2 linked regions of the Rhinolophus ferrumequinum genome follow. The protein of the gene in region 2 interacts with the protein of the main gene of each other region in a pairwise test. Links are inferred from orthologs where the notes say so. Each region holds a gene or a part of one and is shown on either strand. Other genes may lie near its edges.

What was found. The genes of interacting proteins can lie anywhere in the genome.
Region 1: the proteins of FURIN (region 2) and MARCHF1 interact in a protein complementation assay, tested with the Homo sapiens proteins (2 studies listed by BioGRID). The link is inferred for Rhinolophus ferrumequinum from reciprocal best matches to the Homo sapiens genes FURIN and MARCHF1.

Annotation. Positions count from the first base shown.
Region 1 is NC_046301.1:52,394,441-52,401,970, reverse strand, and holds the start of MARCHF1 (E3 ubiquitin-protein ligase MARCHF1), read right to left. Parts: upstream 3,069-7,530; 5' UTR 2,263-3,068; intron 1-2,262. UniProt on the Homo sapiens protein: E3 ubiquitin-protein ligase that mediates ubiquitination of TFRC, CD86, FAS and MHC class II proteins, such as HLA-DR alpha and beta, and promotes their subsequent endocytosis and sorting to lysosomes via multivesicular bodies.
Region 2 is NC_046311.1:3,746,805-3,753,719, reverse strand, and holds the start of FURIN (furin), read right to left. Parts: upstream 3,036-6,915; 5' UTR 2,663-3,035; intron 49-2,662; exon of another isoform or gene 1-48. UniProt on the Homo sapiens protein: Ubiquitous endoprotease within constitutive secretory pathways capable of cleavage at the RX(K/R)R consensus motif. Mediates processing of TGFB1, an essential step in TGF-beta-1 activation.

The sequences.
Region 1 (7,530 bases), on a different chromosome or scaffold from region 2:
TTTTTGCCTCAAGAAAGGTGAAGAGAGTTTCACTGTGTTACAGAGTTCCTATAGTATCTGTTCAAATCAAACTGGAAAAGTGAAAGCAAGAAACCACCAAACAGTACAAACTTATTCCTCGTACATAATCTTTCCTTGATAATCTCCCAGTGTTCTGACATAATCCTCTGTTCCATGACCTTGAACATCACCATTGCCTACTGTGGGCAACATACCATAGTGTGTTTTGTCTTCTGATGCGACTCCATCCTCCTGTCCTCTTTCCAAATTAAGAGTCCTTGTGGAATAAAATAGTCAAAATATTTGTGAAATATTAAAGAATATTAGGAGACTATTCTCTAGTTCAAGGACATTATTTTATTTCATATGTTTTTAAAAATAACAACTACCTCAAATCATACGGATTTATAAGATGCTTACGCTTTCTGAGAACTTTCCTTATATATTCTAGTGTATGTGTAGTGAAGGACCAGAGCATTTTTTGCCTTCTTGGATATTTTTGAAATAAAAGATTTCAGACATAAAATATAACCGCTTATCCCTAAAGTACATTTTTACTTACCACCTACAGGGGGTAAAACATCTTATTGTTAAAGGAAATATTATTTGCCAAAACCCATGAGCCAAATACCACATACCTCCTGCTTTGTTGCCTGATTCTCTAATTGATTATATATTTTATATAAATGTATATTTTTATGTCAGGTACACCACATCACATAAGCACATCAGCAGACAGTATGTTCGCTCTGCTAGTTCCAAAAAGAGATTCTGTTATTACAATATTTAAGGAAAGCAGCCAATATGAGCAACAGGTCCTATAAGAACCTTCATGTAAAGCTTCTTAAGCTTCACTATAAAGAGATGAGTATAATAAAGTTAGAAAGAAAGAAAACTTTTGAAGAAACAGGTGGAGCCCTTTGTGATCGGAAGTCAGGAAACAAACAATGGAATAAAAATTACTTCTGAATCACAGGAGAAAATGTTGCTGGAAACCCCAGAAATCCTGAATAAAGATCTCTCTTTGATCATAATGTTGGTCTCTCAACCTAACATAACATAATCAAACATTTAATTATGCACTTCCGGGAAGGAGAGACAAGTGTCTAAAAGCCACAATGAGCTTTTCCAAAAGCACAACTGATGTGACATCCTCTGATACCCATCTTAGTCCCACAACTTATTTATATTTAGTAAAACCTCCTGGTATTATCTCACCCAGTTCCTTTTTACTTTCACCACATTTCTTATCTCAATAATTTTCTATCGTGTCTTTTCTGAAAAGACCTCTAACTTTATCAGAAGAGCAATCACTGATCAAGAAAGTTTACCTTGATATTTCTGTTTTTAAAAAGCTTCACTAGGATCACTTATCTTTAAAGAAAGATAAACAATCTAAAAGAAAACCAGTAAGCTTTTTTCAGAAAACAAAAATAAAACGATCTTTTTAATTATAACTCTAATTGTTACTTTCTTATATCCTAGCATTATCTTAGATGCTGGAATATCAAACTTGTATACCAAAAATCACCTTAGTATTCATGGATCGTCCATTATACACTAAATTCATGAATATAAAATAGCTCTTAAAATTTTAAATATTTTAGATTGCGGCGGATGAAATTCCCCCAAAAGTAACTGGATCCCAACGTAGCAAACTCTCACTTCTTTACACCTTTCTCACAAAGTGTTTCTTTTGTAAATAAGTTGACATTTAAATCAAACATTCCAATAGATACAGTCACTTCTCCGTGATCTGAAAATTGGACTCTTACCAAAGAGAATTCATTGATTAAACGTGTGGGGAGCCGACAGGTAACGAACGAGGAGGCGTGGGTAATGGCACGTTGGCTTTCTAGTACTTACACGCAGCACGACTCTAAACTAAGGTCCCTGAGCCAGTTCCAAGTCTTTTCTCTTTAAGCTCTAAAGCTCTGTAATAAAACATACCGATTTCAAAACTGTTTAGCAAGCAAACCTCTTGTGGAACTACTGCCTAACAGGGGTTGCCAGGAAGACGCGGATCTCCCTAACTATATATTGGAGCTGCCTCTCACTCCATACACCCTGCAACAAATACTCCTCGAGATAAGCACGTAAGAAACCGGGGGGAGAGGGGGAGCGATAGTGAGTCTCCCCAAGTTTGCTCTTTCACTCATACCACTGGCCAACAGAACTTGGGCGTCTATCTGCCTCAATTGGTCACTTCACTTCCTGGAGCTTAAGAAGCTCGCTCGGCGCCTGGAGAACTGCGACACTCACCGTGGGCGCAGGACCCTCTGGCGTCTGAAGTCCCAGCGTCTTAAGTTCCACCCGCAGCAGGAACACAATGGCATCCCTCGCCCAGGCGGGTGGGTGCGTGAGACCTGGATCCCACTCGACGGTGGCGGAGAGCCTTACTCAGGTCTGCGCGCATCAGCGTTAAACCCAAGACAAAGGCTGCCCTCGGTGGCCCGTGGCGCGCGCCCTCCCTGGGCAGTCGGTGCCGGTCCTCCGCAAGCCGACACCGGTAGCTGGTGAGCCGGTAAAGTGGCTCTCATCGGTTCCGCGCTTTTCGAGGGGTGCGGTTCGGTGACTGGTACCAAGCTGGTGGACACAGCGCGCGGCGCACCGGGATCTACCCGAAACGAGTTGCGCGCAGGGCGGGCGCAGGCTGCCAATAGAGGAAACGACCCCTGGTCGCCGGCTTCAATAGCCTCCACTCACCAGAGCGGCGCCCACAAGGAGTCGGGTCCTAGCACCCACCACGAACCTCAGCCAGGAGTCTCAGCTCCTCTGCAGACCCACCGGGCAAAGGCACCTGCTGCCCGTGCTCCGGGTCTGGTGCTTTGCCCAGCCCCGCTGGCGGGTCAAGGACGCAGGCGCCCGGGTAGGCGAGCGGAGGAGGGTGCGGACACCGGGTGAAGCTAATTGAAGGATCTTCGCAATCACTCACCGGCTGAGGGCGAAGTAGCTCAGGCGGCCAACCGGCTGCGCACAACGAGCATCCCCGGGCTCAGGCATCCTCCCACCCTTTGTCAATAGCGGGCGGAGCGCTCCTCCCCAGCTTGCGGACGTGCAGCTGGGTGGCGGGCAGCCCGGCTCTGGCTCTGCTCCCCAGCCCTCTCCCCTCCTCTCCTCCCCCTCCCATTCTCCGTCCCCCTCTCGCAGCCGGCACTCACTCAGCTCCCATGATGTCATCCGGTGGAAATCTGCCATGCTCAAAGACTGGAATAATCCAGCGCACACGCGGGGAACGCAACGCGGGCGGAGGCGGCAGCAGAGGCTTTAGGCGTACCCAGAACCTGCCGGGCCAGGATAACTGCAGTCAAGGACAGCACAGAGGATGGGTCTGCGGAAAGGAGGCTCCGAAGGTGTGCGTAGGCAGGGTGGGCGTGGTGGGGATAGAGCCCCAGGACGAAAAGTGAGGTCGCTGCTGCAAAGATTTCTAACTCGGTGTTTAGACTGATTACAGATGCTAAGGGTCAGGAGAAAGTTTTCTTGGCTTCTCGGCAGCTCCTGCGCCCCAGCACGGTGATAGACACCTATGCCGCAGCCCGCGGAATAACTAGAACCCCTGGGACTCCAGAGCCTTAGCCTCAGTGAGAAAGTTTAGGATGTCTAGCCGATGGAGCAGCTAAAGGGATGAAGAAAAAAGAGTGCACTGTGTATGGACGAAATAATCTGAAGCAAAGCATTGTTTTGTTTGGGGGTGGGAGGCGACGCGACGACCTTTCAAACCATTAATACCGTACCGCAAGACCGCTGCTCCCAAGCAAGACGCCGAGAGCAGAAATTCACCCGTGGCCCTAGTGTTTTTCCTTCTTTCCTACCCACCAAATACTATTGGACACTCTGGAGGTGACTTCCTGTGGCCTCCCCCAAGGATTGTTGTCGCTGATAAAACAATTCAAATCACAAGGAGTTCATTAAGAGCCATAGAAGATGTGTTGACAATTCTTTTATGCTTAATATTCTTTATAATAGCAATAGGTGTTTTATTAGAGGAATAAACAAACAGCCTCAGTACTTTGGAAGATTCCCCTGTAGTAATGGATGGACACAGACACACACACACACACACACACACACACACACACACACACACACACACACACACCAGATCTGAGATCCAGCCCTACATCAATCTACAGCGACTTCATGTTACAAACTCTCACAGTTCAGAGAACAGATCCCAACAACTGACAGGTTATTCTCTTTTCAATCAAGGAGTCTCTTGAAATCCCCAGGGTGACCTACCACTAAGACCCCTGAGGGAAACAGAGGAGAGCACCAACAACAGGTGCTGATTAGGCAGGCTTACCTGACAGTGCCTGGGTAGGAACACATTGACTCTGCCAGAGGGTTCATCCACAGTCATCCTTTAGAAGTATAGAGAACAGGAATGGCATTTATTGCAAATATGGGTACAATTAGAAACATACTGATCTTTGTAAACACAAAGAGGACTCAATATAATGACAACCACTTGAAGGCTAGCCACTGTATTAAATAAGTTTGTTAATGCATTATGAAACTGTGAAATCCACTGGGATTTATCTTAGGAAAAAGTAATAAGTGTGAAAAAAAATTATTTTTTTACAGGATCAGAAATTATTGTTAAAATAAATTATCAAAAAGGCCATGGTGCCCATAGTTTGGAAGTAATAGGGGAAATCTAAAAGTGTTAACTTGCATTTATTTACTCTCAAATTAAAATATTTTCGGTATCAATATATATCATTATTAATATATATTACAAAGATATATTTAGCACCCTTGTTAACATCCTTACCTTTTTTAAAGATTAAAAAAATATGTTAAGGATAGTCACTTATCCTTTCCTCCAAATCAAAGTACAAAAGAACATATAAAATGCATGAACAACTTTTACAGATGAGTATTTATAAATATCAAAATAATGAAGATTTTAAAAAGCAGGGCAACTAGGAAGTAAACTGGATGAAGAAAAAAACAACTAAGAGAGGTAAGAATTTGGTAATGTAAGCAATGACCGTTTTTGAGAATAGACAAACGATCTAATTGCTTGAAAAAAAAAGTAATTACAACTGCTAATGATGCTGTTCCAAGTATATCAGAAGGTCAAGTTGTAAACCTTCCTTACTAGATTGCTTCTCTGATGCCCCATCTATCTTCATTGCCTCTGTTTATCTTGCTGTGCTTCAGCATTCTCCGGACTAATGCACAAGGATGGAGTCGAGAAGGTCAAAGGCAGTCAGCAGATCTGGGGAACTTAGACAAATAACCAAAAAGATCAGAAAATGGATCCCTCCACTTTTTTTTTTTTTAAATCACTCTTCTAAAGAGTTAAAGCAAACTCTACATCACGTTGTATACCTTAAACTTACACAGTGCTATATGTCCATTATATCTCAACAAACCTAGAAAAACTTTAAAAAAACAAACCTGTGTCTCGTACTTTAAGGATAACAACACGCATTCACACAAGATCATTTATCTAAGTCCAATAGAAAAGTCTTCAGTTATATGATTCTGGCATTCTTTGAGAAGGAAAAGTACTGTGCAGGGGTTTTCACTGTGGACCTTCATCTTCGCAAAGTGAATTTACTCATCTCTACAAGAACTTCTTTCCCAGTGTGTGTTAAACTACCAAGAGCCTTGCCTGTGTGTCACTGACATTTCCCATTTCTAATGCATGCTTTTTCTTTATTTGCAATTTTTAAGTCATACTCTGAATATTTTAGGATATTTTTATCCTAAAAATGGATGGCTATAAATAACTAAAATAAAACATCCAATTGCTACATTGAAAACGTATCATCATTCTTAGAAAAAAAATTTACATTTGAACTCTTACACACCTAACTTATATTCTAATCTTGTTTAAATGGGGAACATATTAAGCCGTGGAGTTGAAGATGTAGAGTAGAAATATTAACTCTGCCTCAATTATTGATGCTCTGCTACACTGTTTTCATACTGAGAAGTGATTCCCTTCACAGAAACAGTGACTGGGTGGGGGAAAAATAGACACATTTTAGTATTTTCCCTTGTGGGTTTCACAAAATATAAAACAAATTTATATTCTGGTTTCATCTGAAACTCATTAATAGCTAGTGACTTTTTAAAAACAAGTTTTTCTAGATATGAATTTGTTAACTGTTGATAAATAACAACTAATAAGCAAAACTAATATCATTAAGTTCTTATTATATGACAAGTACTGTGCTAAGTGCTTACATGCATTATTAGTCCATTTGATCTTTAAATTTACCCCCACAACATAAATGTCTTAGTAACCTTTCTTGAAGATGAGGAATTCGATATCTAGATTGGTTACGAAAATCGTTCAAGCAACTAAACTAGAAACAAGTCAAATTTAAGATTCTGTTCTATTAGCCTAAATACATACTAACAATAGCCCTAGTAATAGCATACTAGCACCTTTTACATAAGTCTTGCTCTGAAACAATGAAAGCATGGTGATTATATATGTTCTATTTGGTGTGGTGGACAACATGCTTCTGCCATCAGTTACCACATCCATCATGAACTTTATTTCCATTATCCCTGTTAGTGAAATGTTTCCAAAGTTATTTACAAAGAAAAAGAATCTCAGGATTCCACATCAATTTGAGTGTCTAATCTATCGTTAAACGCTTTTCAGATGTAAAGCAAGGTGAAGTGATTTTGTACTTAAAGACAGATCACAGAAAAATGAAATAAAAAGAAAAGGAACCGTAAACCATTAATTTAAATAAAGACAAAGACCACCTCAGCAACTACCTTCTCTGTACAATTAATCCATTAGTGGGTCTGGGAAGGCAAACTACATCACCCATTCAAATGAAGGTTTTCTTCCCTACAGTGAATATTAACACAGAAAATAAATCATTTTATATATTGTATCTCAAAGGCCCCATATGTTTTTATCATAGAAAGTAATAGTCCCTGGGCACAGATGTATAACCAAGCTTCTTTAAATAGAAAAAATTTAGTATAGATTTTTTTCAAAATCCTTTTTTATCTTACCTTTTTGATAATTGGCTGAAGTTCAGCAACTCTGCTAACAAGCATTAGTTAAATGGATTTGTGGAAAGGTTACAAGGTACACATAAGAGTTTCACTCTTTCAAGGTGTGCTGCTAACCTAGCTCTTTGTATTAATTTCTCATTTATGAAAAACAATGTAAACAAGTAATGGGAATCTTTATATCCGTAAGATGTGTTAGCAGGCATAATGTATTGCACACGTGTGATCTATTTTGATTTTGGCTGCAGCATGTTATGCTGTCATTAAACATCCTTATTTTATAGGACAGGTGGCCCATCCCATGTCCTTCTGCTCATTTTCCAGTTGCTCTGTCTCTAGTGCTAGTCTGTGGCACTAACATGATGGAGAACTGGTCATAGAGGAGCTGCTCTTGTTTAAAGGTAGAGGAACGGATGAGGAAAAGTTCTCTTGAAATGGACACACTTCTTGTGGAAAGGAAAAGGAAACTCTATGTATAGTAATAGGAGGCTATCAAAAAATTTATGTATATAATTTCTTCTCAAATAAAGGAATTTG
Region 2 (6,915 bases):
ATACAGGTGGATAAGCAGAACAAGCCCACCTCCTTTTAACTTTTTTTTTTTTTTGAACACCAACCGCCTGCCAGGCACCAGGCCAGTCACTTTACATTATCTCCTTATGTACATTATTTAATCCACATAATCCTTTCAAGCTGACATTATTAATCCCATTTTACAGATAAGCAAACTGAGGCGCACAAAGCTTAAATAATTTGCCCAAGGTACCAAACCAGCAGGCCTCAGAGCCTGGAAGAGGTGTGGGGCTTTGGCAGAGTCTGGATCCCAGTACTTGCAATATACCAGCCGACTCCCCTCCCTCCCTGGGTTCCTGCCCTAGAAAACGTCTGTGCTACTTGGCGAGGCGGCCCTTGCTTGAGCTGAGAAAGAAAAGAGGGGAAATGTGGCCAAGAGCTCCCCAGGCTAGGTTATTCCAAGGTCACAGAGCAGTCTCTGCCCATCCCTTCCTGTTCACTGTGAGATAACGTGGCAGCACAGTATTATCCTGTGGCCTCCTTAACACAGGTTTGGGGACAATGATAAAAACGAACACCGCCCAGTGCTTACTAGGAGCCAGGTGCTGTTCTGAGCTCTTTCCATGTAACTCATTTCTTCCTCACCACAACCCCCATGAGGGTATAAATACATTTTCCTTTAGGCACCTTTTATGTATCACTGTCTACATTTTACACAGCACAAAACCAAGGCCAGAGAGTTGTAGTAATATTCCTAAGGACTCACTATGTGACAAGTCAACCAACAAACCTGGTTTCATATCCCTGTAGCACTCTTTTCCATTATGCCACCTTAGACATATTACTTAACTCTGAGCCTCAACTTACCCCTCTGTAAAATGGAGATAATATTCAACTAATGGGCTAAGATACCATTTGGGCACCCTTACAAATTCTGCAAAAACCGGAAACTTCAGAAGAATGTGGGGTCCTGAAAGGTGGGCTGGGACATAAGTCCGGTTGGCTCCCTCTGGGAGAGGGAACTTGCCCCGATAAGGAGCTAAGATCGTAGGGGCCACCCTGGGGTAGCCCCCACCACAGTGCCAGCCACTCTTGGGAAAAAATACTTCTATAGTCTGATTGAAGCAGGAAGTGAGTCACGGTTTCTCCTTAGTCTGTGAGCAAGAGAATCCCATTGAGGGAAACGTGGGACAGGACTGGCCCCACCTAGTCTCGGAGTCTTCAGTGCCCTTCCCACTTGTCCTCTGGCCTAGAAGAAAGGTCAACCCGGACAGAAAGCAATACTGGCTGCCTCTAGGTGCCCCACCCATCCTGGAGGCTGGGCTGCAGGGGAGCAGTGGGTCTGAGGAGGAAGAGGAGGAAGGAAGAGCTCTGTCTCAGATGGATGCCACCCGCAGCAGAGGCATGGGAGTTCCCAGTTCATCCCCGCCAGGCTGGCCCAGCAAGGCTGCCTTTGGCAGAGGCAGAATCCTTGAACTGTGTTGCTCAGACGTGCATCACAGGGGAGAGGAGAGCACTGAGCAAGTGAGCACCGGGCCTTGCTTCGCCCTGAGCTTCCCACCTTTGTCCCTCTCTTATTTTAGGGTTTCACGTGTGATTGTATCTTATTACAACTCTGTTGCTAAAAAGAATTTGGAAGCCATTCTCCTTGAGACCCCTCTGGAGGGAACAGCCCTCTGGAGGGTCCCAAGCTTGCCTCGTCTGGTGACTGCTAGCCACTGGAACAAGTCCTGTATTATTCTCTTTATCACCCCCAAGGGTTCAGCTGAGGCTTTAAGGCCGAGGGAGCGAAAGCACCTGGAGCCCAGGTCCCCTGACTTAGGAGCCCAAGGGCCTCTGGATCACAGTTTATTAGATCTAACAGCAGTCCACAGGATGGGGACACCACGTGGGGTGACGAGGGAGGGAGGACGACTGGTGGGCAGGAGCAGGCCGCTGGGTAAGGCCTGAGGGAGGAAGGGGCTATGAAGGGCCTCCCACCTTCGCAGCAGGGGTCGGGGAGGAAGGGGCCAGCCAGCCATGCCTCTTTATCCTTGGACTTGGGGCTGACCTGGGAGGCTCCCAAGAGCAACCCTAGGCCTATAGTTAAATCTACCAGGTCAACCTCACTCCAGGAACTCCCCGTGTCCCACTGGAATGCTCTTGGGGGGTCCCTTTCTCTCAAAACCTCTTCCCCGCTTTCAGGCTCCTCAAACAAAGCTTTCGGCAGCAGCACCCACACCTGGTTTTCATCAAAATGTCTACACCACATGCATACATGCAAAGGAGGGCACACAACAAAATATAAGTGGTGTTTTCTCTGAAAGGGTGGGATTTGCAAGCTTTTTTGTTTTCTTCTTGCTTACCCACATTTTCAAGAATGTCTATAATCTCTTTTATAATAAAATAATTGAACCTCGAAGTCATGCAAAATTGAATAAAGCATGGCCACACTTCACCATTTAGCTCCAGCATCCCTGGAGTCCGTCCTGACCACCGCTAGGGCACCTCAGCCCCTCCTATCCCTTCCCAAGGCAGGACCCTTCCAGTTCTGGCTAAACCACTTTGGGAAAACTTCCTTTGTATGACAGGCCAACAGGGTGTCTGTGGGCGGGGGGAGGAGCTAGGAGGGATTTGGTGGCGATGCACCTGGTCCGGTGGGGACAGGAGCCCGGCATGGCCAGCCCTCGTCCTCCCAGTTACAGGGGTGGGTCTGCACTTACCTTTTAGTAACTGGCTCTGCCGAATCCCAGATTCACTGGTCGGTTTAATGGCTCCCTTCTTCTGCCTCTGTGTCTTCTGCGTCGCCTTCAAAGCCCAGCCAGTGCTACCCAGAACTGGGCACCTAACAGGTGAGCAGTCTAGTGTGACAGACATTCATCGAGCACGTGCTGAGTGCTGGGCCCTGGTGCCTCAGGCGAGGGCCTTCGCCTTTGTCCCCAGGAAGCCCGCTCAGGTAGAGCCGGAAGGAGGTACCTGAGACCGCCAGGGTCTTCCTGAATCTGTCCTACTATGTGGCCTTGCAGCTCCAGGAGGCCTCTGCCCTTCCTTCCTCGATTCAGAAAAGTGAAACAGCTAATTATCGTGACTTCTTGTTGACTCTTCCAACCAGTTCTGTTTTCCGGAACGGGTTTCTCAACTTCGGCACACTGACATCTTGGGCTGGATCATTCTTTTTCGTGGGAAGTGTCCTGTGCATTGTAGGATGTTTAGCAACATCCTGGTCTCAAAACGCAAGGTGTCAGCACCCCCACACCCATTAGCACAAACAAAATTGTCACCAGGCATTGCCAAATGTCCCCTGGGGGGCAAAACTGTCCCTAGCTGAGAACCACTGATCCAGAGTGAGGAATGGGAATGGCACAGGAGGTGGGCGGTGTGCAGCGTGCCAGGCGACAGGAGTCGTCTGCTGGGAACTGTGCACCGAGACAGCTGGCAGCGAGCGAGAAACTCCCCAACCCCAAACAGCCAGGCATGGCAATGCAACAATGGAGCCATTTAGTGTTCAGGGCAAACAGTCCTATGTCTCTCCACGACATCTGAGGACATGGCTTTCAGTAACGTTAACCATCATGCTGAATCAAGGAACAATCCCATTGATCACACTCTGTTTCCAAGTGGGGAAGTCGGTGAGACAGCTCTGCATTAAATATGTGTTTAGAAGGCAGACCGGTGGTTGCTGGGAAGGGGGATGGCGGCAGGGGGGGGCGCAGGAGGAATCTTCTGGGAGTGATGGATATGTTCATTATCTAGATTGTGGTGATGGTTTCACGGATGTGTGCAAACGTCAAAACAGATCAAGTTGTACACTTTAAATACACGCAGTTTATCGTGTGTCAGTTATAACTTAATAAAACTGTTTTTAAAATGTATCAAGTTTAAGTGCTTGAAAGCCATTATTTTCAAAATTTACTCACATGAGGTAGCCCGTTTCTTGACTGTGCCAGATAAAGCTGATGGTGGTGGGGTCACGGTAGTACTTCAAACAAACAAACAAAGAAACAGAAAAAAAGGAGAAAATGATCATGGGCCTCAAGGCTGATGCGAGAGAAGAGAGAGGAGGGAAAGGGGTGCTGAGAACACAGGGCCCAGGGCTCCCTCGGTGAAGCCAGTGAGACTGCCTGCCGGGTAGGGGAAGCATCAGACTTTTCCGTTGGATGATACCATCAAACCGACGTGTCTGGAGCGGTATTGTCAGGGGCTTGGGAAAATAGAATAACAAATGTGGTGCTGGCTGCCAGCAAAGGAACAAATGATTCTGGGAATTACAGGCTCCTCCACTATCTTTAATCCTTAAAACAAACATTGCCGGGGAAAAGTCAGTTAATACCTGGAGGAGGCGGGGCAAGGTACACCTGGGGAGCAGGCTGCCCAGTGCCACCTGCACCTTAAAGGTGCCCGTGCGCTCTGCCTAAGGGGGTGCACTTGGCAGAGAGGGGTGCCAGAGACGCCAGGTGAAAGAACTGTGGGCGGCAAACAGTGAGGGGCCCCTCACTGACAGTTCCAGGGCCTTTTAGCGGAAGGAGACCTCCATGGGAGTTCCCAGCAGCCCCTGAGTGAGGCTGGGGAGTGAGAGACCTTGTGATGGGGATATTATGTGTGACAATAAAAACCTCCGTGGAGGACTGACTGTGCAGCAGGCGTTTCATTTGTTCATTCCGCAGACACTGACTGAGCACCTGTTGGGTGTAGGCCCTCGCCCAGTGCTCCAGGGGGAGGCAGCAGGTAAACAGGCCTGTTTCTAAGAGAAGTTCAGATTATGTAAAAGTGATATGGTAGTGCCCGGGGGAGGGGGAGGGCAACTGCCCCTGCAGTGGTCAGGGAAGGCCTCTCAGAGGAGGTGATATTTGAGCTGAAGTTCAAGAAAGGGGCAAAGGTGTGAAGGCGTGAGGCGTGGAGAGTGTGTCCCAGGCGTGGGAAACCAGGGGGATACCGGCCTGCTGTGTGAGCTCCAGCGCTGGGTGAGCAGACACTTGTCAGCGTGCGGTGGGAGGGGGTACGAGTGGGGAGAGGTGAGCTGAGAGGGGTAGACAAGGGCTAGATCATGGAGCATGTGGCCGGCTTCTCAGGACGTGGAACTGAATTCTTGGAGCAGCGGACAGTTTTTGGACAATTTTACTCATTTACCCTTTTGAAAGGCCCCTCTGACTACCGTGGGGGCTGAGTGGGAGCCCCCCCACAGCCCTTTGCAGGAGACACAAACAGTGACCCCCACAACCCATGTTACACACTGGGTGGCCGACAGGCTTGGGGAATTGGGGAAATCGAGTGACTTTCATAAGCCAGTAATTGGGTTTGTGGGCTCCTGAGCAGGCCTGGGAAGGAGGGGGTGCCACCCATCACCCTGGGAAGCCAGAGCCTCTGCAGGCAGAGAGCTGGCTGGCCAGGCCTGGAGTCCCACTGCCCCACCACTTGGATGGGCTCACATGCTTCTCCCTAATCCATACGTATGTGGGTGTCTTTAGCAGAAAACTTGGCAACAAGGGGTGCTTTGAGTCAGCAGCTAAGACTCAGAGCGCTCATTCACTCATTCGTCTCAGGCACTGTGCTAAGTACTTTACGCTGATGATCTCATTTATGGCTCATAACAACCCTAAGGCAGGCAGTTATCATCCCCATTTTACAGATTAGGAAACTGAGACCTGAGAGCTTGCTGGGAGTTAGGAAGAAGATCCAGGGTTTGAACCTCGGGAGTGAGAATGGAAAGCTTTCTGCCTCTAGAAGCGGAAGAACTACGGCTGAATCGAGCGGCCCGTCCCCTCCTCAGGCACTGTGATGTGGGCAACTCTGCTCTGATTCACATTTGACATTTTCTTGGATGAGACTGTTCACCTGCATCCTCCCAGGAGTCCTTGCTGATACTTCTGTAATGTGCGTGCCACTGAACCGATGACCTGCCCCTTCTCCTGCACAAACCTTGTGGGCAGTGGTCCAGTGTGCAGGTTACCAGCCCAGCCCTGGACTCATATCCAGCTCTGAAATGCTTGAATGCCCCCTGGGCAAATGACTTAACCTCCTGGGGCCTCATCTGAGTTTCCTTATCTGTAAAAGGCGGCACAAGCTACCCAGCTGATGAGGTGACACCTGTAAAGGGCTCAGCCTGGCCTGCGATGATGGCTAGTGTGACCACGTTACAGCCTCCTTCGTGTTAAGGCAGGAATGCCCTTCCAGGGGGCTGGCTGTGGAGGCTTTTTTTTAACATTTCCACACTGTCCTAAACCCAGGCTTTCCTGGAAGAAATCTCTGCCCTCACTGCAGCTCTTCCTGTGGTGCTGTTGGGCGATTGTTTTCCTAGGCAGAGAGCTGCCAGCCCCTCTGCATTGCTGTTTGGTCCCTGGGTGGCCTACGAGGTGCCTTGTACCCATTTCGCAAGCTGTCTGCTCCTTTGTCCTCGTCCTTCTAAGGTCAGAGGTCAGCAGACAGTCCTCTGTGGCAGTGTTTCCCAACTTGTTCACCTCGGGACATACAGAATGTGTGGTCAGCCGGCTGTGGCGAATGGACCAGGCTAATGGAGGCTGACCCGGCCTTGCTGGCAGCTGCCACCCTGCACGCTGATGCCTGCTTGGGGGCTGGAGGCTCGAGAGACCATTTCAGACACACGAGTGGGCAGTGCTTTCTACGGGGCGCCTGGCAGTCTGGCCACATGGGGACAGGTGGCTGTGCCGTCTCCCAACGCCGGCCACACCACTGTGCTTGCTAAATTGTCTTCCCATAGAGTGCTGGCAGGGTTGGTCTTCCTGACCTTCTTGTTTTTAGAGAGAATACCTTCCAGATAGTCTTATAGGAAGACGGTCTGGGAAGCAACAGAGCTCTTCACCCCCAACACCGGGTCTCGAACCTGAGACTTGTTCATTGGCTTTGTGGGAAAGAGACTCTCATGGCCTCCCCAGTGCTGACCAAGGTACATGATTTCTGTCCCATTAGGTACACATTCCTCATAATAGCTTTCATGCAACCATCCCCCCAAAACGATGCA